Coturnix japonica: one gene and its partners. The protein of the gene in region 6 purifies or fractionates together with the protein of the main gene of each other region. This does not show direct contact. Links are inferred from orthologs where the notes say so. Each region holds a gene or a part of one and is shown on either strand. Other genes may lie near its edges.

Evidence for each region.
Region 1: the proteins of SOD1 (region 6) and TPI1 purify together in Homo sapiens (affinity purification with mass spectrometry; 3 studies listed by BioGRID, with this or other methods). This does not show direct contact. The link is inferred for Coturnix japonica from reciprocal best matches to the Homo sapiens genes SOD1 and TPI1.
Region 2: the proteins of SOD1 (region 6) and HSPE1 purify together in Homo sapiens (affinity purification with mass spectrometry; 3 studies listed by BioGRID, with this or other methods). This does not show direct contact. The link is inferred for Coturnix japonica from reciprocal best matches to the Homo sapiens genes SOD1 and HSPE1.
Region 3: the proteins of SOD1 (region 6) and PARK7 purify together in Homo sapiens (affinity purification with mass spectrometry; 4 studies listed by BioGRID and IntAct, with this or other methods). This does not show direct contact. The link is inferred for Coturnix japonica from reciprocal best matches to the Homo sapiens genes SOD1 and PARK7.
Region 4: the proteins of SOD1 (region 6) and TKT purify together in Homo sapiens (affinity purification with mass spectrometry; 3 studies listed by BioGRID, with this or other methods). This does not show direct contact. The link is inferred for Coturnix japonica from reciprocal best matches to the Homo sapiens genes SOD1 and TKT.
Region 5: the proteins of SOD1 (region 6) and HEXB purify together in Homo sapiens (affinity purification with mass spectrometry; 3 studies listed by BioGRID and IntAct, with this or other methods). This does not show direct contact. The link is inferred for Coturnix japonica from reciprocal best matches to the Homo sapiens genes SOD1 and HEXB.

What each region holds. Positions count from the first base shown.
Region 1 is NC_029516.1:69,555,449-69,559,728, forward strand, and holds the start of TPI1 (triosephosphate isomerase), read left to right. Parts: upstream 1-1,480; 5' UTR 1,481-1,595; coding exon 1,596-1,707; intron 1,708-2,508; coding exon 2,509-2,632; intron 2,633-2,726; coding exon 2,727-2,811; intron 2,812-2,939; coding exon 2,940-3,072; intron 3,073-3,293; coding exon 3,294-3,379; intron 3,380-3,517; coding exon 3,518-3,605; intron 3,606-3,849; coding exon 3,850-3,968; 3' UTR 3,969-4,280. Other genes in the region: USP5 (ubiquitin carboxyl-terminal hydrolase 5), read left to right, coding at 513-597, 767-860. UniProt on the Homo sapiens protein: Triosephosphate isomerase is an extremely efficient metabolic enzyme that catalyzes the interconversion between dihydroxyacetone phosphate (DHAP) and D-glyceraldehyde-3-phosphate (G3P) in glycolysis and gluconeogenesis.
Region 2 is NC_029522.1:4,972-9,196, forward strand, and holds the start of HSPE1 (10 kDa heat shock protein, mitochondrial), read right to left. Parts: upstream 2,801-4,225; 5' UTR 2,630-2,800; coding exon 2,627-2,629; intron 981-2,626; coding exon 816-980; intron 61-815; coding exon 1-60. Other genes in the region: HSPD1 (60 kDa heat shock protein, mitochondrial), read left to right, coding at 3,657-3,830. UniProt on the Homo sapiens protein: Co-chaperonin implicated in mitochondrial protein import and macromolecular assembly. Together with Hsp60, facilitates the correct folding of imported proteins.
Region 3 is NC_029536.1:196,701-200,060, forward strand, and holds the end of PARK7 (protein/nucleic acid deglycase DJ-1), read right to left. Parts: intron 3,211-3,360; coding exon 3,151-3,210; intron 3,015-3,150; coding exon 2,945-3,014; intron 1,456-2,944; coding exon 1,369-1,455; intron 928-1,368; coding exon 767-927; 3' UTR 501-766; downstream 1-500. UniProt on the Homo sapiens protein: Multifunctional protein with controversial molecular function which plays an important role in cell protection against oxidative stress and cell death acting as oxidative stress sensor and redox-sensitive chaperone and protease.
Region 4 is NC_029527.1:4,946,905-4,951,044, forward strand, and holds the start of TKT (transketolase), read right to left. Parts: upstream 2,801-4,140; 5' UTR 2,671-2,800; coding exon 2,564-2,670; intron 1-2,563. UniProt on the Homo sapiens protein: Catalyzes the transfer of a two-carbon ketol group from a ketose donor to an aldose acceptor, via a covalent intermediate with the cofactor thiamine pyrophosphate.
Region 5 is NC_029547.1:22,141,720-22,145,815, forward strand, and holds the start of HEXB (beta-hexosaminidase subunit beta), read right to left. Parts: upstream 2,801-4,096; 5' UTR 2,635-2,800; coding exon 2,342-2,634; intron 2,211-2,341; coding exon 2,059-2,210; intron 1,003-2,058; coding exon 937-1,002; intron 184-936; coding exon 137-183; intron 1-136. UniProt on the Homo sapiens protein: Hydrolyzes the non-reducing end N-acetyl-D-hexosamine and/or sulfated N-acetyl-D-hexosamine of glycoconjugates, such as the oligosaccharide moieties from proteins and neutral glycolipids, or from certain mucopolysaccharides.
Region 6 is NC_029516.1:94,144,695-94,148,728, forward strand, and holds the start of SOD1 (superoxide dismutase [Cu-Zn]), read left to right. Parts: upstream 1-1,234; 5' UTR 1,235-1,374; coding exon 1,375-1,449; intron 1,450-1,856; coding exon 1,857-1,950; intron 1,951-2,557; coding exon 2,558-2,627; intron 2,628-4,034. UniProt on the Homo sapiens protein: Destroys radicals which are normally produced within the cells and which are toxic to biological systems.

The DNA of each region.
Region 1 (4,280 bases), about 25 Mb from region 6:
GTATCAGTGGCAGCAGCTCCCACAGAGCTGAAGGGGAGCGGGGAGGAAAAGGAGAAGGGTGGCAATGTAGGGGCCTAAACCCTTCAGCATGGGGATTAGTTGGAAGCTGATAAGAGTGAGGCCAAGGAGGTGCTGTCAAATGAAAGACAGGAAGGACTGTGCTTCTTTCTCCCATATTCTGATCTTTGGTCTCATTGAGAAACCAAGTTCCAATCCATTTGCAGAACTCTAATGCCAATGCAGTTTTGCCCCTGGTCTCTATAGGGAGGTGGAATTCCTGCCACTACCCATGCAGCATACCTGAGCCAAACGAGCTTGGAAGAGAAAAGGCTCAGTGGAAGTTGTCATCTCGTGTTTCATTGCACATTTGGCCTCAAGTCACTCGCACTTGACTGGGACCCACGTTTAAGTTATTACCTAGGAGAGCTTCCATCAGATCTCTGAGTTCTCTAGAGGGCTGTGCACTGATCTGTGGCACCTTTATCTGATACCTCTTCTCTCTTCCTCACAAGAATATCAGCTGTTTGCCTTCATCAGCCACATGGGCACTTCGACTATGTGTGGTCACTATGTTTGTCACATCAAGAAAGATGGCAGGTAAGAGGGGATTTGACATAAGCGGTCTCTGAAGTACGGCTTTAAGCCACTGTTCTGCCCTATTTCTTCATGTGGTGGCGAACAGAGAGAAGCGAGCTGGCAAAGAGGCTCACGTAGCATCTTTGCCGTACAAAAGGGGGAAGCTGAGGAACGCTGTTGTGTGTTGCAGGTGGGTGATCTACAACGACCAGAAGGTCTGTGCTTCTGAGAAGCCCCCCAAGGACCTGGGCTACATCTACTTCTATCAGCGGATCCCCAGCTAGAACAGCCTCTCGCTGTGTGTGGAGGGGGGGAAAGCGGGCCCGAGGCAAGGAAGGGGAGGGTGGGGGCGGTCAGAGCAGGGCCCGCCTCCCCTGCTCCTCATACCCGCTCTTCCCTTCCCGTCCTCGCAGTGGGACGCTCAGGGGAGCCGTGTTCCACGCCGGGCTGCGGCCGGAGCCCCTGAGGTTGGCAGCGAAGGGGGTTGTGAGGGTGGGAACGTCCCTTCGCTCCCTGCAGCCGCTGCTCGGCTCTGCCGCTGGGGGGGACGCCGGCTGCCGGTGTCCCGCAGGGGCAGGTTGTGCATGTGGCTCGGGCCGTGCTTTCTGCCTGCCCTCCCGGGGAGGGGGCAGCACGGGAAGCGGCGCGGGCCGTGAGCGGTGCCCCCTCCCTGCGTGCCCTTCACATGCCAAAATACACGAGGGACAAAATAAAAGTCAAAATACGGCCTTGTCGGTGTGTTCTGTGCAGCTGCGGCCCCGGCAGCCCCAACTCGGGCACTGCTACGAGCTTCAGGACGGAGAAGGGAGGTGACGTGCCTCTGAGAACGGCCGCAGCCATCCCCAAACGGAGGCTGCCAGGGCCCCGGGGGTGGGAGGGAGGAGCTACCGGGGGTGGGAGGAGCTACCGGGGGGCTGGGCCTCGCGCAGTGCCGGGCTATAAAACCGGCCTCCGCGGGCTCCGTGCTGTTGCCGACCTTCCCCCCGTGCTGGTGACCGTGTGCCCCCTTCGGCCCCGCCATGGCTCCTAGGAAGTTCTTCGTGGGCGGCAACTGGAAGATGAACGGCGACAAGAAGAGCCTGGGCGAGCTCATCCACACGCTGAACGGCGCCAAGCTCTCGGCCGACACCGGTGAGGGAGGGAAGGAGGGAAGCAGGGCGGCAGGGCGCGGCCGCACGTAGCGCACGTCCCGCGCGGCGGGGCCCGGCCGGGGCACGGGAAATGTCAGGGGGCGGCCGGGGCCGAAACCGAACCCCGCGGCGGGGCTAAAAATACCGCGACACCGGATCCCGGCCGCTGAAGGGCACGGCGTCCAGCCCCCTACTGCCGGATGCGGGCGGCCTCCGTCCGCCGGCGCCGCGGGGATCTGCGGGCCCGGCCCCGCGCGGATCCTGCGCTGGGCGGTGAGGGGCCTCTGCGCGGCATCGTCCCCCACGGCCTCGGCCTGCAGCCCCTTCTCTGTGCCCGGGGTCGGGGCCATGATGTGGGGGCTGAGGGCACCGTGCTACTGGAGCGGGTTCCCGGAGCGTGCCTGGCCTTCCGAGCTGCCATACCCGCTGTAATCCACGTGTAACCCGACGCTGCCCTTTTCTCCCCGGTTCAGCCTCCTCGGTTCATTCCTGCCCGGTTTCTCGGCTGGGATCTTTCCAAGGGATTCTGCGAGGCCTGGCTTTCTGCCCGACCCCCCCCCACCCCCCCTCTCTTTCTGACCCCTGGAATGAGTTTCCCCTCTGCTGTCGAGTCATCAGATAGTAGGGAGGATGTTCCGACTTGGTGTGGTCCCCAAATGTCAGCGAGGGCAAGCTGAGCCTCCACCAAATGAGGGGCATGAGAAGGGGGAGGGGTGGCCTCTCAGGGCTGGGCTATGGGGCCAAAGGTTGTGTGCAGTTTGTTTCCCTTGTCCTTCCTATGGGTGACTTTTGTGCCTTACAGAGGTGGTTTGCGGAGCCCCTTCAATCTACCTTGATTTTGCCCGCCAGAAGCTTGATGCAAAGATCGGACTTGCAGCACAGAACTGTTACAAGGTACCAAAGGGTGCTTTCACAGGAGAGATCAGGTGAGCCCAAAATGAAGATTAAAGCCAGCACTGCTTTGCAAAGTGAGTTTCATCAGGTGATGCGAGTCAATACCTTCATCTGCTTTCTCATCAGCCCAGCAATGATCAAAGATATTGGAGCTACATGGGTGATCCTGGGCCACTCAGAGCGGAGGCATGTTTTTGGAGAGTCTGATGAGGTGAGAGCCTGGAGCGGAGAGGTGGTACCCAACAGATAATGCTGTGAAGGCTGGAGTGAGCAGTTGGAGGGAAAGGTGGGTGATACAGGAGCAGGTCTGACTGCCGCTTACCTTGTTTCCATCCCCAGTTGATTGGGCAGAAGGTGGCTCATGCTCTTGCTGAGGGCCTTGGTGTCATCGCCTGCATTGGAGAGAAGCTGGATGAGAGAGAAGCTGGCATAACGGAGAAGGTGGTCTTTGAACAGACCAAAGCCATTGCTGGTAAGGGAAGATAATTGACTCTTATTATTATTATGGACAGCTGGGAAGTAGCCATTTTGGCCATAACTGTCTGTTCCTGGCCTTCAGATACATAGCTACATTATTAACAAACAGTGGTCAGGTTATTAAAAGGTCTGCCTGTTCCAGGAAGCTTTTTTTCCAGATCGGCCCTTCCCAACATGAGGTACTGCACTCATGTCTACTTTCTTCTTTCCTCTCAGATAACGTGAAGGACTGGAGTAAGGTGGTTCTTGCCTATGAGCCAGTTTGGGCTATTGGAACTGGTAAAACTGCTACTCCCCAACAGGTAACAGCAAGGGCAAGGTGACTGATGAAATGAATGTGTGACCCCACTCGAGGTCTCCCTGGAGATGGAACAAGGTTCCTTCTTTGGAAGGGAGCTGTATGCAGGATGGTTCAGACTCCGGTTCCTATTTCATTTCAGGCTCAGGAAGTTCATGAGAAGCTGAGAGGCTGGCTCAAAAGCCATGTGTCTGATGCTGTTGCTCAGTCAACTAGGATCATTTATGGAGGTAAATGAGTCTAGGCCCTTTGAGGCTGCACTTACTTTGCTCACTGCTGTCGTACAGCATGCTCTGCTCTGCTGATGAGGAAACATGAGACTTAACATGAGCATGAAGAACCACTTACTAGCTTGGGAGACAGTCTTACCGTTTACAGAATAAGAGGTGGCTGGTACCTTGCAGGTTTTACCTCCTGCGTTATTGCCATTTTGGATTTGCTATGTCTGAACTCTTAATCCTGTTCCCTCTTCAGGTTCAGTCACCGGTGGCAACTGTAAGGAATTGGCCTCTCAGCACGATGTGGATGGCTTTCTTGTTGGTGGGGCTTCTCTCAAGCCAGAGTTTGTGGATATTATCAATGCAAAACATTAAAGCAGCCTGTGAGGAGCAGTCCCTTACGGTTAACAGCAAGAAACTGAAGCAAGAAGGGACCTTTTGTTGCACGTCTCTTGGTACAGAGGCTTCTTCTGAGGCTTTCCCCCACCACCACAATTATTGTTGTAGCTGTGCTGCTAACCCCCACCACCTTGTTGGAGTCCCATTAGTGTGAACCCATCTTCCTTTCTGAACTGGCAAAATCCTCGGTTATCTGGCGAGCTGTTAGAGCCCACAGTCAACCTGGCTCTTGCCTCTCTCTCTCTTTGCAGACCTGCAGGGAGGGAGGGCCACTAGTACTGGGGGGAG
Region 2 (4,225 bases), on a different chromosome or scaffold from region 6:
GTATTCTGGTAGCAAAACCTTTTCACCAACTTTGACACTCACTGGATGAATCTCACCATCCTGAAAGGAAGAAAATAAACACCCTTCATTTTACTCCAGTTCAATGGAAAGGTAATGGCACAATTGCTCCATACTGCAAACAAGTCAAATAATAGAACCACTTTGCAATATCCTGCTTTGAAAAGCAGACACAGAGACAAAAAGAAACCCCACGATATCTTTGGAGAGACTCACAGGCAAAGTCTGAGTCAACACACTCAAGTTAAACGTTAACCTGCTTTCTGCCATTGAGACTAACTGACCACTATTTAGATGGGGGAAAGATCCTCCAGTAGCAAAGCCACTAACCACGGGCATTTTAAGAAGGTGAAAAGACATTAAAAGGTCTCCTTCAGGATCTTCAACAGTCAAAGCTTAAGCAAGCTCAACTGGCATTTATTTCTACCAAGTCCTGATTTTTTGTTGTACATTAAGCCCAACTCTTATGGGCAATGATTTTTTGGACAAGACAGCGAACGCCACGTGCAGAACAACAAAGAAAAGCACGTAACCATTCACTGTTTAAGGATGCTTATCAATAGCTGGTTTCAAAAAGCAAGCATTTTCCATTTTGCAGATGTTCAAAGGAAGACTGGAATTCAAGGCCAGAGCCAGGCAGGGGAACTGAAACCTTCTACCTCTTCTTTGAACCTGCACTTCCACCTTCAATCACCCCTCTCAGTTTTTGTGCTATATGATTCAACGTACTCTGCAGCCATCCCTTTCCTGCTACCACTTTCCAGCTGCTCAAGCTGATGCTTCAATCAGACTCTTACCTTCCCTCTGGCTCCAGATCCAACTGCTACCACTGTTGCTTGCAGCACTTTCCCTTGAGCTTTTTCTGGAATCATGATGCCTCCTTTGGTTACAGTCTCTGCTGCGCATCGTTCAACCAGAACGCGATCAAACAGGGGAAGGAACTTCCTAAATGCTTTTCCTGCCTGTGAAGGGGCACAACGTTAAAGGAAAAACAGATGAACAAAAGCGCATCTAAAGCAAGAAAACCCACAACTAAGTGGGTGTCAGAGAACAAGAAGAAAGTTGAGCACTTCTTTTCCATAGAAGCGAATTATACCACCTGTGATTGCATTGCAGAGCTGTGCTATGACTGCTTCAAGCTCTTCAGAAGCAGCTCACTCCCAAGCTGCTCACACTGGGCACTCTGTGCCCTTAAGGCTCCTCGCTCCAGCTGAGGGAATGAGCCTCCAGCAGGTGGAGCAGGAGCCACATGTGGCTAATCCTAAACCGTTACTTAGTACGGCTCACTGAGAACAGCGGCTCACTGAGAACAGCTCGGTGATCACAAAGACAGAACTCAGTCAAGACTGAGGGCAGCTGCGTTTTCATTCACCGTAGCAGAGTATTTTATAGTAACAAACTGTCAGTCTAGGCCTGTAGCTGGTGCCTGTCTTTTTTGGGCAGTTTAAAGGCATGGCATTTCAGGTGATGTAAGAGAATTAATCAAGTCTGAAGTCCAAATGAAGACTGCTGTTAGTTGGAATGGAAGCAGCACTCCAGCTCCCACACAGGAGATGAAGGCAAGCACAGCACCCTGCTAAGCAGGGGCAGGAAAAGGAATTTGCTGTGGTTTAGGAGGAAAGCTATGGAGCCTTGCCAAGCCACATGGAGACAGTGTGATGCAAGGCAGGTACCCTGGGCTCACTGAAATGGCTAGAAGCAGCCTGGCAGCTGGGCACCCTCCACTGACACTGATCAGCACTGGAGCTTTAAAACTAGGGGGAAACGAAGCTGTAGGCAACGTGTGAGAGATGCATCCCCAGCTAAACTGCTATTACTGGAATGATGCAAGACATGGAAATGACTGTGAACCGGGATGATGTTCATTCTAAGAAAATACCAGTGCTGATCTCTTTCTCTTTAGATTCCCTGAAACCAAACGTTCTGTTCAACTGCAATCAGAACGCAGAATGCTGCCACTTTGTGCCTAAGCTTCAGGTAACACTGTGTCCTTCTGCCTGCTCTCACCAACGAGATGATCATCGTGGTCCTTTCCAGCGCTGGCCACTTTACGTTTCCTAATTTTATAAGGATCTTAATAACGATACACTGACGCAGGTACAAGGACAGCTGTGCCCTTAGGGCTCCTGCAGAGAAGCCCTGGATGGGAGCAGCTTACAGAGCACAGCACCAGCAGCTCCGTTTTCCCTCCCGCTCCTGCGGCCCCCAACGCAGCCCCCAAGGACTCGGTGACCTTGCAAACCCACTCCCAGCTCCGGGCCGGTCTAACCGAGCGTCCATAGGGCGCTAAGGCAGGACTGCAACGAAGGGCTCACCCGCTCTATCCCTGCCTGCCTCCATCCCCCCACAGCCCCACCGGCCGCATCAATCACCATCAATCACCATCAATTACCCTCCAGCAGCACCAAGCTGCCGACACCCCCATAGTGCGGCCTACTGCCCTGCGGACGGGCGGGGCGCAGCAGCGGGCACAGCCCCACGCAGGAGCGCAGGGCCGGGAACACGGGGCCGCGGCCGAGCGTGTGGTCAATCGCGGTGCCGGCTGTGGGGGCACATGCACACACACACACATACACTCACTCACACACTCACTCACACACTCACTCACCATGGCGGCTCCGTCCCGCTCCGCTCCGAGTGACCGCGCCGCTCCAAGCACACGTGAGGAAGGTCACCCCGTGCGCATGCGCAGCCGCCGACCCTGGCTCCTGGCCCCGCCCCGCCCCCAGCCGTGCCGCCCGGTGCCGCGGCTCCGTTATCCGCCGTCCCGGTGTCGGTGTGTGTCCCGGTGTGTGTCCCGGTGTGTCGCTGTGTGTCCCGGTGTGTCGCTGTGTGTCCCGGTGTGTCGCTGTGTGTCTCGGTGCTGTGGCGGTTCGGTTCGGGGCCGGGCCGGGACCGGGGTGGTGCTGCCACCCGGAAGTGAAGTCAGCCGCCCTCTGACCCGGGGCGAGCATGGGCATTCCAGAAGGTTCTGGAATTGGCGAGCCCCGGAACATGGGTGATTCATGCTCGGAGCCTCCTGCACATGCGCAGAGCGCGCCGTACGCCTAGATCCTTTTTTCCTCTATGGGCGGACCCAGACGCTATGCAGGTTGCGGGGCTCGGCCGCATGAGTGTGTGCCCGGCGGGGGCGGGGCCATGTGAGGGAGTGTGTGAGTGTGTGAGTGCGCGCCGCCCTGAGCGCCGTGCGGAGCGGAGAGCTGAGAACGCACACACAGCGCTACGGGACGCGCCGCCGGCACAACGCAGGTCAGTGGGGAGCCGAGCTGAGCTGTGCTGTGCCGTGCGGAGCTGTGCTGAGCCGTGCTGTGCTGGGGCGGGCCGCTCCTCACAGCGATGTGGTGGTGCTGAGGGAGCGCCGCGTGCTGACTTGGGCGGCCTTGCTCCCATTGCACGCCTGGTCCGGTGTGTGTGTGTGTGTGTGTGTGTGTATATGTGTGCAGCCCTGCTATGGCTCCTCACAGCCCCGTTGTGTTGCGGCCGGCTGCATTGTGGCCGGCAGGGGGCGGCGGGCTCTGACCTTGCGGCGCGTCCTGCTGTGGGGACGGGTGGGCATGTGGCTCCGAGCGCGGCCTGCGGGCGGACCATGTGCTGCTTTAAATCTGTATGGCTTTAACATCGGGTTTTACCCCCCAGACATGCTCCGTTTGCCCGCCGTACTCCGCCAGATCAGGCCGGTATCCCGAGCGCTCGCCCCGCACCTGACTCGGGCCTACGCCAAGGATGTGAAGTTCGGGGCGGACGCGCGGGCCCTGATGCTGCAGGGGGTGGATCTGCTGGCAGATGCCGTAGCCGTCACCATGGGGCCCAAGGTAACGGCGGGACGGGCTGCTATTGCGGGCGTGCCTTAAAACGTGGCGATAGGCGACGATAGTGTGCGTGGAGTCCCGTTACTTGCACGTGGGTAGAGCTGCGTGGCCATGTTCACATCGATCCCGTGGGCACAAAGGAGGACGGGCCGCTGCTCCCTGTGAGGGGCGCCTGCCTTCCTTTAGGCACTAAGGACGGCAAGGGGGCGACCGCGTGTTGGCTCGAGTTACTGCCCCTAACGGCGTGGTAGATAATTAACTCCTTCCAAAGGGAACAGTTACATTAGCGCTTATTTATTATCGGGCCAAATTACAGCTTTGTATCCTTTCATCTCCTACCAGCAGCAAAGTGGAAACACTCAAGGCGTAATGCTGAGCTTGCAGCCAGCTCTGAAATG
Region 3 (3,360 bases), on a different chromosome or scaffold from region 6:
ATGTCAGCACCTTAAAGCTGCAAAGGAAAAAGAGTGCAAATATATTGCACAGAGGAAAAACATCAGAGGAAAAAAGAAAGATGCCAAACAATCCCACCCTGAATTCAGATACACAAAGAGCCACCAGGACAAAACACTTTGAAGCCATCAATGCACAAAACATTACGCTTACAACCATCAGGTCTGAACCCCCTAAAAACAAAAAAGAAATGATCGATGTAGTTTCTTAATCTCACAACAAGCTGAAGAGAAAAACCAGCACTACTGAGCGTCCTTCCAGAAAACAAAAGGCACAACCAAACCTACACAGCAAACAGCCTTAATGCCTTAAGACCAGGGAAATTCCCAGTTCCAGAGAAGGGCACACCAGTCTGTGCCACACTGAGTCGGATTATCACACTGCACAGAGAAGTGTGAGCCAGACACTAGTGATAAGCAAGTTACTCACTGCAGCCCCTGCTCGGGACTGGGGAAAAAACGCACAAAGAAGCAACAAACAATCAAGGTTGTTTCATTTTTATTTAATCAGCAAACATTTGTCCACGCGATTTTGAAATGCCAGGATCTAAGATTATTTAGTTGCTAATGATAGTGAAGGTCTTTGCTAACAGAGTTTTCTTCCAGGAATAAACACTGGTGAGATGTCCTAATTTAGGTGAGCACAGCTGTTAATTTCATCCACAACTACATTGTGCATCTCAGTTATTCTACAAAGGACAAGACTCACCACCTGAAATTGTTCTACTCCATGTCCCACAACAGCATTTCAGTCCTTCAATATTAAGGGTGCCTTCACTTGTTCAGCCACCTCCTTCCCCATCAGTACTTCAACAATGGCCAACCCAAACTCAAAGCTCGTACCAGGGCCACGGCTGGTGAGGATGTTCCCATCTTTCTCCACACGGCTCTCGGAGTAGGAGTAGTGAGCTTAGGGGTGACACAACAATAAGAGGGTCAGTCTCCATTCCAGTGACACAGAGCACAGACCTGCCTGCTCACAGGCTACGGCAACTGAGGGGCAGCAAGCTCCACCAACAGCATCGCATTCTTGAGTACACACCTCAATGACTCACATGAGCCAAGCTCACTCTGGGCTCTGTATCCCTGTCCCTGCAGAACCAAGCAACTCATCGCTGCCTACAGTCCTCAGAGAGGAAAAGGCCCTACAGGGAGTTCTGCCAGCTTGTTCACATGGCATATAAGTGCACCTATCTGCAAGCTGTTGAATTTTGATTATGCATATGAAAGCACTAAGGAAACTCTGAGATACAGAATGAGATGCAAACGTTATTTACTTTTCTTTAAATGAAGAGTTAGGACAAAATACTTTCCGAGTTTAGAAATAAAGCTATAACATTAATTACATACCTCCATTCATCATTTTATCTTTGGCCAAAGGATGTGTTGTGACTTTGCTTCCAAATCCTATCCCATGTGCCAGGAGGGCAGTAGGGCCTGTAAGGACACACACACATCAGTGAGAAACTTATCTGCTACAAACATAAGAACACGCATCCAGGGGCTCAAATCTCACAGCCTTGGTAAGGATTATCTGATAAAATTTCATTTGAAAAGGCCTTTATGTGCTGGAATTGTGCACCAAGCAGCATTTTGGACAGCTATGGGTTAACAGCTAACCTTCCAGTTTTTACATTCTCTTTCTCTTTCCATCACTTCCTCCCTTGCCTGAATTGAGGAAGAAACTTGTGTAAAGTTGTCTTAGATCACCCAAGAAAAAAATCCTTATGGGAATTCCAGAAGAAACTGAATGCAGGATTTGGCTGATTCAAGTGTCATTTCTGCGTATCTGATTCATTTCAGAAAATGAAGCAACAAGGAAATAACTTCCCTCGTGTTCAGCTGGAAAAGTTCTGAAAAGCACTACACATAAAATAAATGAATTGTTCTGCAACATACGGGTAAAGAAGGAAAAGACCACCAGAGCCACACTTAGGACTGCTCACAAATTCATGTGTATTGCTCAACTGAAGAACGAAAACAAAATAAAAAGCAGCCACACACCAGACAAAACACAAACACATGCTGCAAACACACACCGTTAGAGCATCTCCTACACAGTTATCATCACTCTCCTCATTCTCCCCTACATAGACCACTCTCTCTGTTCAGCTGGGAATATCGGCATTTATTCATCTTGTTTTTTCTTTAAATACAAACCACATAAAGAACTGAACTAGATATCTAGCTGTGCAGAACATGTAAGCAGACAACCCTCACTGTAGAGTAACTCCATATTTTAGTACCACTCCTTTGAAGGTGAGCCTGTAACACTATATTTTCAGCCACCCTGCTGAATCTAAAGGGCAGAAGAGGAGTCATGAGACAAATTTATAGTAACGATGTTCAGCCAGCACAGCGTCCTCACAGAGAAAATAACCAGATACTAAAAAAAAAACAAACCAAAAATCCCTAAACTAAAAACCAAATGTAATGCTGTAACACAACAAAAAGGTCAGCAATGACAGCAGAGTAACAAAGTCCCAGACTGCAGCAAGTGAGGATTTACTCAGAGGTGGCAACTGTACTCACAGAAACCAAGAAGACCTCAGGTACACAGGGAACTCCAGAGAGATACCCCCACCTCCACTGGGAACCCTTAAATGAGGGCTGGATCCTGACTCCACCCAATCCAATCACCCAGTACATTGCCTGCACCTGAGCTCCCCTGGGTTGGCTCTGCCTTCCCACCATGTGCTCCATCATTGCTTCAGGCCACTACAGCATTTCCACTACACCCAGCAAATTAGTTGTCACTTTTTAAGACACTAACCCAAATGACTAGAAAATCCAAATGCTGATGGGTTTGTAGAGCAAATTTCTGTAACTAAGTTACAAGAATATAAATTTCTAAGGCAGGATACCCGCCTGCCTGTCCTTTCAAACACCCAAGTATTTATCAAAGGAAAACTTGTTACTAACCCACCTGCACATATTGCAGCAATCAGGCCTTTCCTGCTTTCCTGATCCTTCAAAATGTCTTTAACAGCAGCAGACTGTAAAAGATAAAAAGAAGCCGTTGCTTTGAGTTGATTATTTGGGTTGAAGCACAGTTGAGGCATTTTCTACTGCAAATTCATGAACAAGATTTACAAAGAAAAACAGCTTGACAGCTTGATCCCAGGACTTTACCTCTGACAAGTTCTGAGCTCCAAGGTTACCTCCAGGCAGGACAACGACATCGTAAGGTCCCTAAACAGACAGATAAAGCTTTGATGAACAGAGGGTGACCTATCTGTCACATTGTTCTAGGGACAGCACAGCTAAGTGAATTGAGAAGCAAAGGGATCCTTCACTGAGAAGCCTTTTCTTTCACCAAATCTGATCTTGGCCTGCTGTAAA
Region 4 (4,140 bases), on a different chromosome or scaffold from region 6:
AATTACCTATTTGAGCATCATAAGGACCGGATCATTTGATCTTTTAGCCCTTGTCCAAACAAAGGCTGTATTTTCTTGAAGGTACAAGTAAAGAACACAAGAACCAGCATGTCAGACCAGCCACTGAACCACTTGCAACACATGCCACAGTTAAAGAAATCACTTCCTTGAAAGAAGCAGGCAGGTTCTGGTTTGTTTGAAGTGCTTTTATTGCAAGCACTTCCTTCACTTTTACAAACGACACCTTTAACAAATACTGGCTTCCTTGGCAAAGTCAATGCAAGCGGTTGGGTTTTTTTACTGGTTTTGTTTTTATTTTAAACTGTAAGCCTGTTTAAATTTAACTTTCATTCAAACATTTACCCTGCCTTCTTACACTGTACTGGTGCTTTAAGTAAAGCTTAGTGCCTCATTCACACTTTGAGAAAACACATCCCCCTAACGTTTGTTTTAGAAATTCCTCATCTGATATTGCATCAGATTCTTAATTTCTTTTCCTTTTAGACACATTACGACACCACTACCCTCTTGCTAACAAAATCCAACGTTAAAGAAAATATATGACTTGACAGCACAATCCTCCCCCCAGAGCACATCTTTCATAATCTACCAATTATCAGGTTGTGTAATAATTTCAGGCTCCGTGAGACTTTACATAGTGTTAGAAGAAGCTCTACTAATGAATGAATGAAATACCTCTGTAAAGAAGTGCTCAGTAGCACAGTACACACGAATAAAAAGCTAAACTAAAGCTATTTATGCTATTTCTTCATCAGTATGGGGAAAACAGTGTTAGTACTAAATGCTTGGATTTTGTGCTCTGAAAAGAGGCTGTAGCAAGATCTCTGCTCATGACTGGCACAAAGCAGAGATGGGTTGACTTGCAGACAACCAGTGCTGCACAGCTCCATGGCTGGCCTACAACACAGAGCAGAGCAGCAAGACTGAAGCCTCAGCTGCATTAAGCACCCTGGACTGACCAAGCTTTGCTCAGCACAGTCCTACTGCAGCAGTGGCTGCCGTGCCCCAGGGGGTTCTATGGGCAGAACCAGAGCAAGGTTTTTGCTTGCTGCATGCAGAAGGCGCGAGTAAAGTTCAGTTTCTATGTGTGTGCTGAGAAACCACGTGAGGCCATAGCCGGGCGGGAGGTGTAAGGCGGTTCCAAGAGAAAGCTTGGAAATGGTTTTTATACAGACCGCCTTTCTCCGCTCAAACCTCAGCGCCCAAAGGATTCCTTCAGCTGAAAAATAAATAAGTAAAAACCAATAAAACAGCAATAAAATCACCTACTGCCGGTTACAAAGAGGCCCCAAAAGGGAGGAAATTGCCACAGGATGGGATATAAAAGGCTGCGTTCTACGTGGAAGCGCTCAAATGTATTATTCAAGCAGAAAAAAATAAAAAATGGCTTTAATATTACATGAGTAAGAGTGGATTGTTTACAGAGATTTTTTCTTTCCATAGGTAAAGCACGATCAAAGGAAGGATAACCGTGGAATCTGCAGACATCAGAGCTTCGACTAAATCCTGTCCAGAGGCCTGAATAAACCACCAGTTGGAGACTGCGGGCATTGCACAGATAATCCCACTTGGGCTCACTTGAAATTCTGTGGAGAATTAGTTCCAACTGACGGGCACGAAATGAAAAAGAAACCGCTCTGCGCCTCGGGCATGAATTCTTTGGGTTTCAGCCCTGCATCAACTCGGCATTCCCGGCCACTGCCCACAGTCACAACACCCTCCGGGATCGGGGACCGACGTGTCACAGAATCACACAGAATCACAGAATGACCCGGGTTGGAAGGGACCTCAAGGATCATGTAGTTCCAACCCCCCTGCCTGGCAGGGCCACCAAACATACACCTTTACTACATCAGGTTGCCCAGGGCCCCGTCCAACCTGGTCTTGAACACCTCCAAGGACGGGGCATCCACAACCTCCCTGGGCAGCCTGTTCCAGGGCCAAACCACTCTCCTAGTAAAGAACTTCCCCCTAACATCCAACCTAAATTCTTCCCTCTTTTAACTTCAAACCATTTCCCCTAGTCCTGCTATTATCAGCCCATTCAAAGAGTTTACTCCCCTCTTGGGAGTAAGTTCCCTTCAGGTACTGAAAGGCTGCAATGAGGTCACCCCGCAACCTTCTCTTTTCTAAGCTGAACAAACCCAGCTCCCTCAGCCTGTCCTCATAGGGGAGGTGCTCCAGCCCCCTGATCATCTTCGTGTCCCTCCTCTGGACCCTTTCCAAAATCTCCATGTCTTTTTAGTACTGATTGCTCCACACCTGCACACAGTACTCTACAGTACTACAGTGTCCCTCAGCCTCCAACCCCGGGCGGTGCTGATCTGTGCCGTGAGCCGCAGGATCCCCACACCGCGCTACGGCCGCCATTTCCAGCCAGAGCATCTCCACGCCGCACCGCTCCGGCACCGGGGCACGCCGGGGTCCTCCGCGCTGTACCATCCTCACCCTCTCCCTACACCGCATTAACCCTCCCACCGACCCGGAGGAACTGATAAAAGAAAGGAGCTGCTCCCTGGAGGCAGTTTCCAGCCCCACTCACCCCGAGCCGGCCGCGGTCGTGGCCTTGATGGAGCCTATGCGCAGCCGGTTGGCCGTATCCTTCAGGGCCTGCAGGGTCTGCTGGTCGGGTTTGTGGTAATCCTCCATGGAGACGAAATAAAGGCGGCGAGACTCGCGAGGCAGCGGCTGCTAAAACCGGGCAGGGACGGCGGCGCTCAACGGGACCGTGCGGAGAGAGAGGGGTGCGGTGAGGGCGGGGAGAAAGAGAAGGCCGGGCCGCCCCGCCTCCTTAGGCCGGTACATCGCTTCCTGCCGGAGGGAGGAGGGTTCTGTCGGCTGTGGGCAGGCTCAGCGTGAGCCATTTCTCGCTCCCATGTGCTAGAAGGCAGGAAACTGCGGCTCTTCACATCTGAGCATGGTAGGCCGTGCGTGTGGAAGCCGCCCCTCAGCGCTCGGAGGGATCAGCTCAAGCTTTTCCATCGCTCAAAGCCTGTTAGACAAAGTTATTCCAAGGCTGTCCTCGCTTATAAAAGAATATCACTGCATCAAGTGTGATCTGCAGCCAGGAAGAACTGTAGCAGAACTGCTGTATGCCATTTCTTTTCAAGAAAGAATTCACAGTTCTGTAATACACGCTCAAAGAGCACAACATTCTTCATTCGAGAAATACAGACTTCAGCTTAAAATACTGACTTCACCAGCTATGAATCAGAAAATACATTGTCTTTAGTGCTTCTGAACAGGAGGAGGCTGAAATAATTAAAGCTGCAGCCTTAGCTGGGTACATTAAATATTACATGTGTGTTCTAGAAAGCTCTGGAAGTGTTAGAAGTCATAATCTGTGCAAAAAGAAGTTTAAAACCACGGAAAACAAAAAGAATGAATTCTGTTCTCAAGAAATGCGTGTCTGTGCTCTGCATTCTGCAAGGATTTCTGCTCTGCAGTCAGTGCTAGTTTGTTTCAGAAGCTGTATTACATTGCTTGAAAAGGTAAAAACCACATTTCAAATATAAACAGTTATACCATGGATATTATGTTGCTGTTTCCTATTGGAAGACACCTCTGGTGCATACTATTTAAGAGAACATGTGCCCTTGTTCTCAAGACTTGTTTCAGTAACACTATGTTACTGAAACATAGTGTGTTTGTAACATAGCCATGCTCGTTGGGCAAATGCCAGCTGGTCAGTAGCACCTGAAACTGACCCGGGGAGGTAAAACATTCTTCCATTAATTAATTGTTTAATTAATTAATTGTTGTAATCTTTTTTTGGTTGCTGTTCTAATTGTTACAAACAAGAAAAAAGACACCACAGAAGAGATACTAAATTTGGAATAGGTTATTTACCAGGAAGAAGGAAGAAATGGAGCCAATCCTGACAGTAGCAAAGTGCAGAGTTCATTTTAGACGGCACTAGGTAAAGGTTAGCTGGTGTGACTGCCACATAGATATCCAATACATATCCACATATCCAATATACACGTATGTATATACATATACACATATCCAATAGATATCCTACTTCAAAATATATTGTTTTATTTTCTTCTTGTGTGCGTAGGCTCCAACAGGCCTAAAATTAACCTTATCTTATTACTGAGCAAAGATCACCGAACT
Region 5 (4,096 bases), on a different chromosome or scaffold from region 6:
CAGTTTGTTAACAGCTTTCCAAACATTATTTTCTGAATAAGTAATTAATGAAACCTGTTTATCTACTGTTCCTTGAGGAATAAAGAATGTGGCTGTCTGTTATCAGACCGTGTTTTCAGCTAACAACTATACTTACACTTCCATAATCATCTTCGTGAACCAACTGACTGAAGGTTTCCAAACCTGGGAAAATCAAAGAAAGAAATCCAGAATACACCACACTGATATTCCTTAAAATTTTAGTTAAAAACAAGACCCAAATTATTTACGGGAATGCAGATAGCAAGAAAGAATGCCTTATTATTGAGTTTCTTGTTATCACATTTGCCTTTGTTGCTCAAGCAAGAAAGTTAACAAAGTACCAAAAAGAGAACAGATCAAACTCTCCATTATATACAAGCACTGGAAATTATTATCGTGGCTCAGAAGCACCAAATTAATCTTTGACAGAATGATAACAACAGAGAGTGAGGTAGGAATGTCTGTTATTATCATACACATATTCCTGCCGTTTCTGGAGCAGGTGAATTTTCCAATTCAGCATTAAAAATTTGCTAATTTAGATAACATTCCAGTAAGAAATGCAGACTGAGACTTCAGCATCATGGTTCTCTTGGTGATGGTGACCTGCATGTTGTTATTAGTGCAGTCACAGAACAACTTATTGACACTACAGATCAGAGAGATTTTTTTAGCACTCGGGATCTGGTTGGCCTGGCTGATTTCACATACAGCAATCAGGCAGTTATGGTGTGCCACTGGATCTGGGATACTGAGCACACAGACTGAAGGAGTGTGCAGTGCACATTTTGGTACCTTAGGCCCCCACATGCCTGAATGAGGGCATGCCTCAGCAGTCAGCTGGTTCTTAACTCTGCCATGCAGTCTGTATAAGCTTAGAACAAAAACAGCTCTGTACGGAAAGCATCAGCTTACCTCTTAAAGCTCCCCATACTTCATCTGCTTTCAGTATAGCCACAGGCTCACTTACAGTTAAATGATCTAAAAAGAGGGAAGAAGAGTTATTCCTAGAGAAGGCAAGGATTGCCAAGACATTATCAGGCACTAAGATATTCAAGATTCCCTTTTTGATTTTTTTCTCCATTACTCTGGTGCTCCATTACTCTGATTATCTTCATGGTGCTCCTCTGGACCTGCTCCAGCAGCTCCGCATCCTTCCTGGACTGGGGGCCAATCCCCTTCCTCTCCCTGCTGGCCATCCCTCTTTTGATGCATCCCAGGATATCAATGGCTTTCTGGGCTTCAAGCACACACTGCTTTTCACCCACTAGGCCCCATTGGTCTTTCTTCACAGGGCTGCTCTCAATGAGTTCTTCTTACAGCCTGTACTCATATTCGGGAATGCCTCAACCCAAGTGCAACACCTTGCACTTGGCCTTGTTAAACCTCATTAGATTCTCATGTGCCCGCCCTCACACTATGAGACAGCCACTGACTAAACCATACCATTTCTGTTTAGAAAAGAACAACAATAAACTGCTCAATGCAGCAAGTGAATGATTTCCTTACAGAAAAGAAGAATCAGCTTTCATTAAGAACTGAAGTTCACATGGCTGTCCGAAGTTCAGCTAGTAGTAAGGCAATGTAATAAGCTAACCATAAGTGCTGAAGCATTAGTGACTTTGCTGCTTCCCATGATAACTGTGATAAGAAACTAAAGAACTAGTGGTTAGGAGTTCATTTTAAGAGTGTTTGTCCAATCTGGATGTCAGCTGTGGAGAATCAGAGCAGGACAAATCCAATGTAACCATCACGTTGTTAATCCTGCCTTGTATCTGTTGGCAAAATGAAAGCGTTTTTACAACTCGCACTCAGCTGCTCCTTCACCCAGCACTACATGTTGAGGAGATCACACATGATGCCACTGACTAATGTCATGACTTGGCGCGCTCTCAATTACACAACAGCACGATTAGGTATGAGCTGCTGTGTCCTCACAAGCCTCCGTGAGCCTATTATTTCCAAGGAGGAAAAAATAAATCACCGTCTGACTTCTGCGCTGGCCGTTAAGGCTGAGCACGACACCGCGGTACTCACAGGCCTCGTTGGACGCGAGGTGCGGGAAGCTGTTACAGCCGGGCTCCGGGGAGGCGATCACCACCTGCAACTGCGACAGTTCCCCTTGTGCAGACGGCGACTCTCGGTGCGGCTTCCTCCAGTGGGAGCGCCCGAAGATGTACTCGTAATACCTGCGGGGAGAGCACAGCTCAGGGAGACTGAGCTGCTCCCCGGAGCCCGCCGCCCCTGCAGCCCCTATGAAGCCCCTATGAAGCCCCTGCCGCCCCTGTGAAGCCCCTGCCGCCCCGCCGCCTGCCCTCACCTGCGGAAGGCGTCCTGCAGGATTCCGCAGCCCGGTCCCGCTGAGGAGCCGGCGCCGTGCACCACCTGGAAGCGCTCGGGGGCCAACTGCAGCCGGAGATGGGACGTGCGGAGCGACTGCGGCAGCGGCCACAGCGAGTCCTCGGAGACGGCGTCCGATCCCGTCCCCCATTCGGACGGCTCCGGCTGCAGGTCGGGGGGCGGCTCTCCGCGGCCGAAGCTGGCGCCCAGCAGCACGGCGGGGACGAGGAGCAGCCCTAGGAGCAACCCAGCTACTCCCATGGCTCTGACCATAGCAATGCGGCCGGCAGAGGCCCCGCCGAGTGAGCCCGCCGCTCCGCCTCCGCCATCACGGGACCGCGGCGCACCGCCCTCCGTACCGCCCCACGGCGGGGAGACCCGCACCTCAGGGCGGCGACGGCCGGGACGGGTCTGTGCGGTGTGGAGAGCGAGAAGGGGTTTGTGCAGAGGATTCCATCACAGCGAAGTGTTGTCAGAAAGCAGTTTCGGCCTTAGCAGAACCTGTTAGAAGTGCTTTCTGCGGAATGGAAGTGTGCAAACCCGGAGAGGTTGTGGATTCTCCTCTGGAGATGCTTACAAACACCCCTAGACGCCAACCTGTGCAGCCTTTCTTTAGGGGCCCTGCTTTGAAGGGGGTTTAATGATCTCTAGGGGTCCCTTCTGGCCCCTACAATTCTGACAGGTCCCACTGTAAATCTTGGAAGGCGTGAGGTGTTTGGAGGGCAAGGCATGTGCCTGGAAGCTGAAAATTCCAGTGGGGAGGCATTCTGACTTGAAGGCACTGCTAATTAGATGATTAACGAGAGCCGTGCATGCTAGTGCCCTTGCTCAGGTGACACAGGACAGCAGCAGGATGCTCTCAGCTGCACACTGCTCCTGTGGTGCCTCTGCAGCGCCACCAACATTCTTTCAGGAGGCAGCTGTGGAGACACACGCTCTGGATACAAGAAACAGAAGAAATGAGGTATGGAGAGGATGCTCTTGTGATGTCAAGGTTGCTTCCCTGCAAAAAGCCTCACTCTTTTTGTGACTTATTGCAGAATTGTTTTTCACAGCAGGATGAGTCCTTGCCACTGGTTGCAAATCTGGATGGAAGCTGTTCAATCATGGCAAAATGGTACTTAATCTTATCATATTTTAGGTAAAAATAAACTCCTTATTATGGGATACCAAATAGGCACCTAACACTCATGAGTCCCTGCAGCAAGCAGCTTGGTGTAGAAGTGGTCTCGTCAGGCTTTCCCAGAGGCTGTACTGTACATGCAGTCCAAGCTCTGGCACAGGCTTCCAGCTTCTTGATGTGCTCTTAGCCCTTCCCCTCTCTGACCATCTTCACTGTTGTGCTGCTGGAGCTGCTCATGGTGTCCATTGCTGGTCGTGTTTTGGGGGCATATTTAGGAAATCTGGATTCTTTCATGTATTTCCTTAGCACAACTGAGAGATCAGTAAGCTCTTTGAGCAAGTGGTGACAAACTGAAGTTGGTAGGGAGCTATATGCTGTAACAGCAGGCCTGCTGTAGTAAGTACGTTTATTTCTTGATGTCACCCTTTAAACAAGCTGCTTTGTGCACAATCATGTAATTAAAACAGTTTTGCATTTTCTTCTCTGTGTGGACCTTCTGATAATTGACAAGGACAGCAGATAGCTTTTTCATGTGTAAGTATGTGAAACACAGGCTTATTTCTCTTACTCATATGTTGTGAAGCAACTTCCAGGAATTTAATCTCCCTGAGA
Region 6 (4,034 bases):
AACTGGGTCTGTTTAGCCTTGAGAAAAGAAGGCTGAGAGGGGACTTGATCCAGGCTTATAAATACCTGAGGTGTGGGAGCCATAGTAGTGAGGCTGGTCTCTTTTCAGTAGTGCGTGGGGACAGGACTAGGGGTAATGGTATGAAAGTACAGCATAGGAAGTTCTGCACGAATGTGCAGAAGAACTTCTTTACAGTGAGGGTGACAGAGCACTGGAACAGGCTGCCCAGGGAGGTGGTGGAGTCTCCTTCTCTCGAGATATTCAAGACCTGCCTGGATGCCTACCTGTGTGACATGGTGTAGGGAGCCTGCTTTGGCAGGAGGTTGGACTCGGTGATCTCTAGAGCTCCCTTCCAACCCCTACAATTCTGTGATTCTGTGTGAAACAAAACAGCAGCAGTGAACTAAGGGAGAAAAGTAGTTAACTAAATATGATAATGAATGTGAGATAATATAGTATATATAATAATATTTGCTTTCAGTTCTCACTGCTCTAGTCTGTTATCAGTAGACCACAAATAACACAACTCTCCCCACACCAAGCGTGCTTTGCCTGAGTCTAACGGGCAGGCTTTGCCCCCATCCTTATCTCAACCCACAAGCCTTCTTTCATCATGACTACCCCCACTCCTGAGCTATTCACACAATCATACAATGACCTGGGTTGAAAAGGACCACAGTGATCATGTAGTTTCAACCCTGCTGATGTGTGTAGGGTTGCCAACCACCAGCCCAGGCTGCCCAGAGCCACATCCAGCCTGGCCTTGAATGCCTGCAGGGATGGGGCACCCACAGCCTCCTTGGGCAACCTGTTCCAGTGCGTCACCAACCTCTGTGTGAAAAACTTCCTCCTCATATCTAACTTAAACCTTCCCTGTCTCAGTTTAAAACCATCCCCCTTGTCCTATCACTATCCACTCATAAACATCCATTCCCCCTCCTGTTTATACGCTCCCTTCAAGTACTGAAGGTCACACTGAGCTCTCCCCACCACAGTCCGTTCATCCACCCAACGCAGGGTCTGAGGGACCTGAGGTAAGTAACAGAGATAACGGCCATAGCACAGACCGCACAGCGCCACAATGATGGAGAACGGCGGTTACACAACCAGCCCGACCGTTGGAGGTGTCCCGCTTTCCCATTGGCCCATGAGACCGCACCGCTGATTGGCTCTCCCTCCGCACCGCCCACTTTCCCTCTTGATTGACAGCACCTCGCGCTGTAACTGCGCGAGAAGACCAGAGAACGCGCTGTGATTGGCCCGCGGCGCTGACGGACTCGGTATATAAACCCCGCGGGAGCATCGATCCCGTTAGCCCTCGGGTAGTTGTAGGCGGGGTTGTTGGTGCGCGCCCTCTCGTGCTGCTGAGGGAACATGGCGACGCTGAAGGCCGTATGCGTGATGAAGGGGGACGGGCCCGTGGAGGGGGTCATCCACTTCCAGCAGCAGGCAAGGCCCGGCAGCGGGGGGGGATCTGATCGTACTCTGACCGGCAGCGGTGCTGAGTCATCGTGCGACCGCGGGTCGGTGCGGGATGGGGGCGGGGCCGGTCATGGTGCCTGTGGGGGAGGGAGAGCAGCGGGTTGGGGTTGGTTTGAGTTAAGGAAAGGGGCTGCACCACAGGGCGGTGGGTATGGGGCGGGATGCACGGGGCTGTGGGCACGGCCCCAGTGCTGGAGATCAGGGAGAGTCTGGACAACGCTCTCAGGCATACGTTGTGATGTTCAGGGCTCGCTTCCAGCTCAGGTTATTCTGCACTGGTAGCTGGTTTTTGTTATTGACCTGGAAGCTTTGCTTGTAATGAGGCTCTGTGATGCTTTAGTGGTGTCAGTAGTAATCAGCTCTTTGTGTTACAGGGTAGCGGACCGGTAAAGGTTACTGGCAAAATTACTGGCTTGTCTGATGGAGATCACGGCTTCCATGTGCATGAGTTTGGGGACAACACAAATGGTAAGGTGCCTGGCCAAGCTGCTGAGTTACAGCTACAAGGAGCTGCTTCTAGTGGCACAGCAGCAACCATCTTCAGCATGCGTATGTTTTATGACTGCACATTTGAAACCATGATTCCTAAGGCACATTTGAAGCACATTTGAAACCATGATTCCGGTGGTGCAGTGGTAGAAGTGCCGCTCTGCTACACAGGAGGCTCGAATCCCGGGGGTTGGACTTGATAATCTCTAAGGTCCCTTCCAACCTGCATGAGACTGTGATACTGTGAACTGATTCTTACAACATTCTTTGAACGCATTTAGGCTACTCTTCAAGGTCTGGTATGTCAAGCACTGGCCTAAGTACTTCTTCTGACCTAGTTTTTAACCTGGTGTTAAGAAATGGAGAAACTTTCATCTGGCAGAGATTATTCTGGAATGAGTCACGTGGATTTGTTGAACTTGGAGTAATGTTTGTGTGTTTATAGATCCAGCTGGAGAGTAGCTGTTTCATCATTAATGATTTTAACTTCCTCTCACTGTAGGAGAACTAAGTTCACATGCAGTATAAGCAATGCCTTTATCTGCTTATTGTGATGAATCTACTTTTGGTGGTTGTTCTTTTTCAGGGTGTACCAGTGCAGGTGCTCACTTCAATCCTGAAGGCAAGCAGCACGGTGGACCAAAAGATGCAGATAGGTGAGTGTCATGGGCATGACCTAATACTGTGCAGTGCAGTAGTTGTGTAAGTTCAGCTTGAGAGGCTGATGTGTGACTAATTGCTAGGATAGTGCTAGAGGAAAACTAGCAGTTCCAGCAGGACTTCTGAGGGCAGTTAGGAAGGTACTTGGTGATCATACAGCAGTGCTTTAGATACCCTGGCTCTAAGAGTGTGTGCAAAATGCAGTCTTTGGCGCTCTGGTCTTATCATAGCCTGGGGTGAAGGGGAAATAATAAGGGCTGTTAGTGAATGTTCATTAGGAGATAAGTGAGAAGGGGAAGGAAGGTCATGTACTAATACCTCTCGTGGTGCCTTGCTTCTCTTTTGGAGCTAGCTATTGACAGCAGTGGCCCTATAAATGTCTTGTGTTGAGCTGTGTGTAGGCTTGTCATGTGGTCTGTGAGGATCCTCACTAGGGCTTTGGGGAGGCTGCAAGATGGGCACAACACTGAGTGCCTGGCACAGTGGATGTTCATTTGGTGTGCTGGGTTTTTCTTAACACCTTACCGTAGGTACCATGCTGCCTATGGGATGTATTCTGTAGGGGTTGTGTGCTGGCTGTAAGTACTGGTCTGTTGGCACTGAATGCCTCTGCCCTTGCTTCATAGCCCTCTGTCAGAGGAAGCTGAGACTGAATTCTTACTGGGAAGCAGTTAAATAGCCCAGTTACCTTTGGGGGACCTTTAGTGTCTGAGGGGTTTGTGTGGTGTCTGAGACCACTGAGCAGTTGTTTCAGTAGTATGCTTCTGGGTTCTGAGACTGGGAAGGTGCTGTTGTCATGCTGGTCTTTAGATCTTGTGCAAGTCTTAAAGGTGACTTGATCATTCGGAGGTAGGTTCTGAACAATCACTGTGGTTAATCTGGCCGTGTTGGTCATGGTTTTAGGTACTTTGCCTGTACCTGCAGCTTCTGTTATTGATCAGTTACTTGTCAGATGAAGTAAGTCGAGTGGTAGGTGTCTGGATGAAAGCAGTGTGCAGTGGTAGCTGAAGGGCTTCACAGGCAGCCGGGTGCTCTAATGCTAAAGGTCAGTTACGCGAGCAGCGTGCTTCTATTGATTCTCTGTCAGATCCTGCTGCTGATGTAACCTGCCTGCTCAAGCAGCTGTAGGCTGGGGACTCTGTGTGAAGGTTTAAGAACTAGGCCGTGCTTCTGTAAGGCTGGAGCTGAAACCAGTACTAAAATCTCCTAGAAGCTTAAATAAGCACCCAAAGGGGAAACCGCCCTTGTCCTTATTCTCTAGGACTGAGTTAAAAATACAGAGTCAGCACTATCTTCTCAGGAAGCAGGTGGTTGGCAGGTAGCTGGAAGGGCTGCTCACCCTGTGAGCATGGACGGGTCTAGGGACAAGCTGGTGTTTGAGGCTCCATCAGCTTCAAATGGGT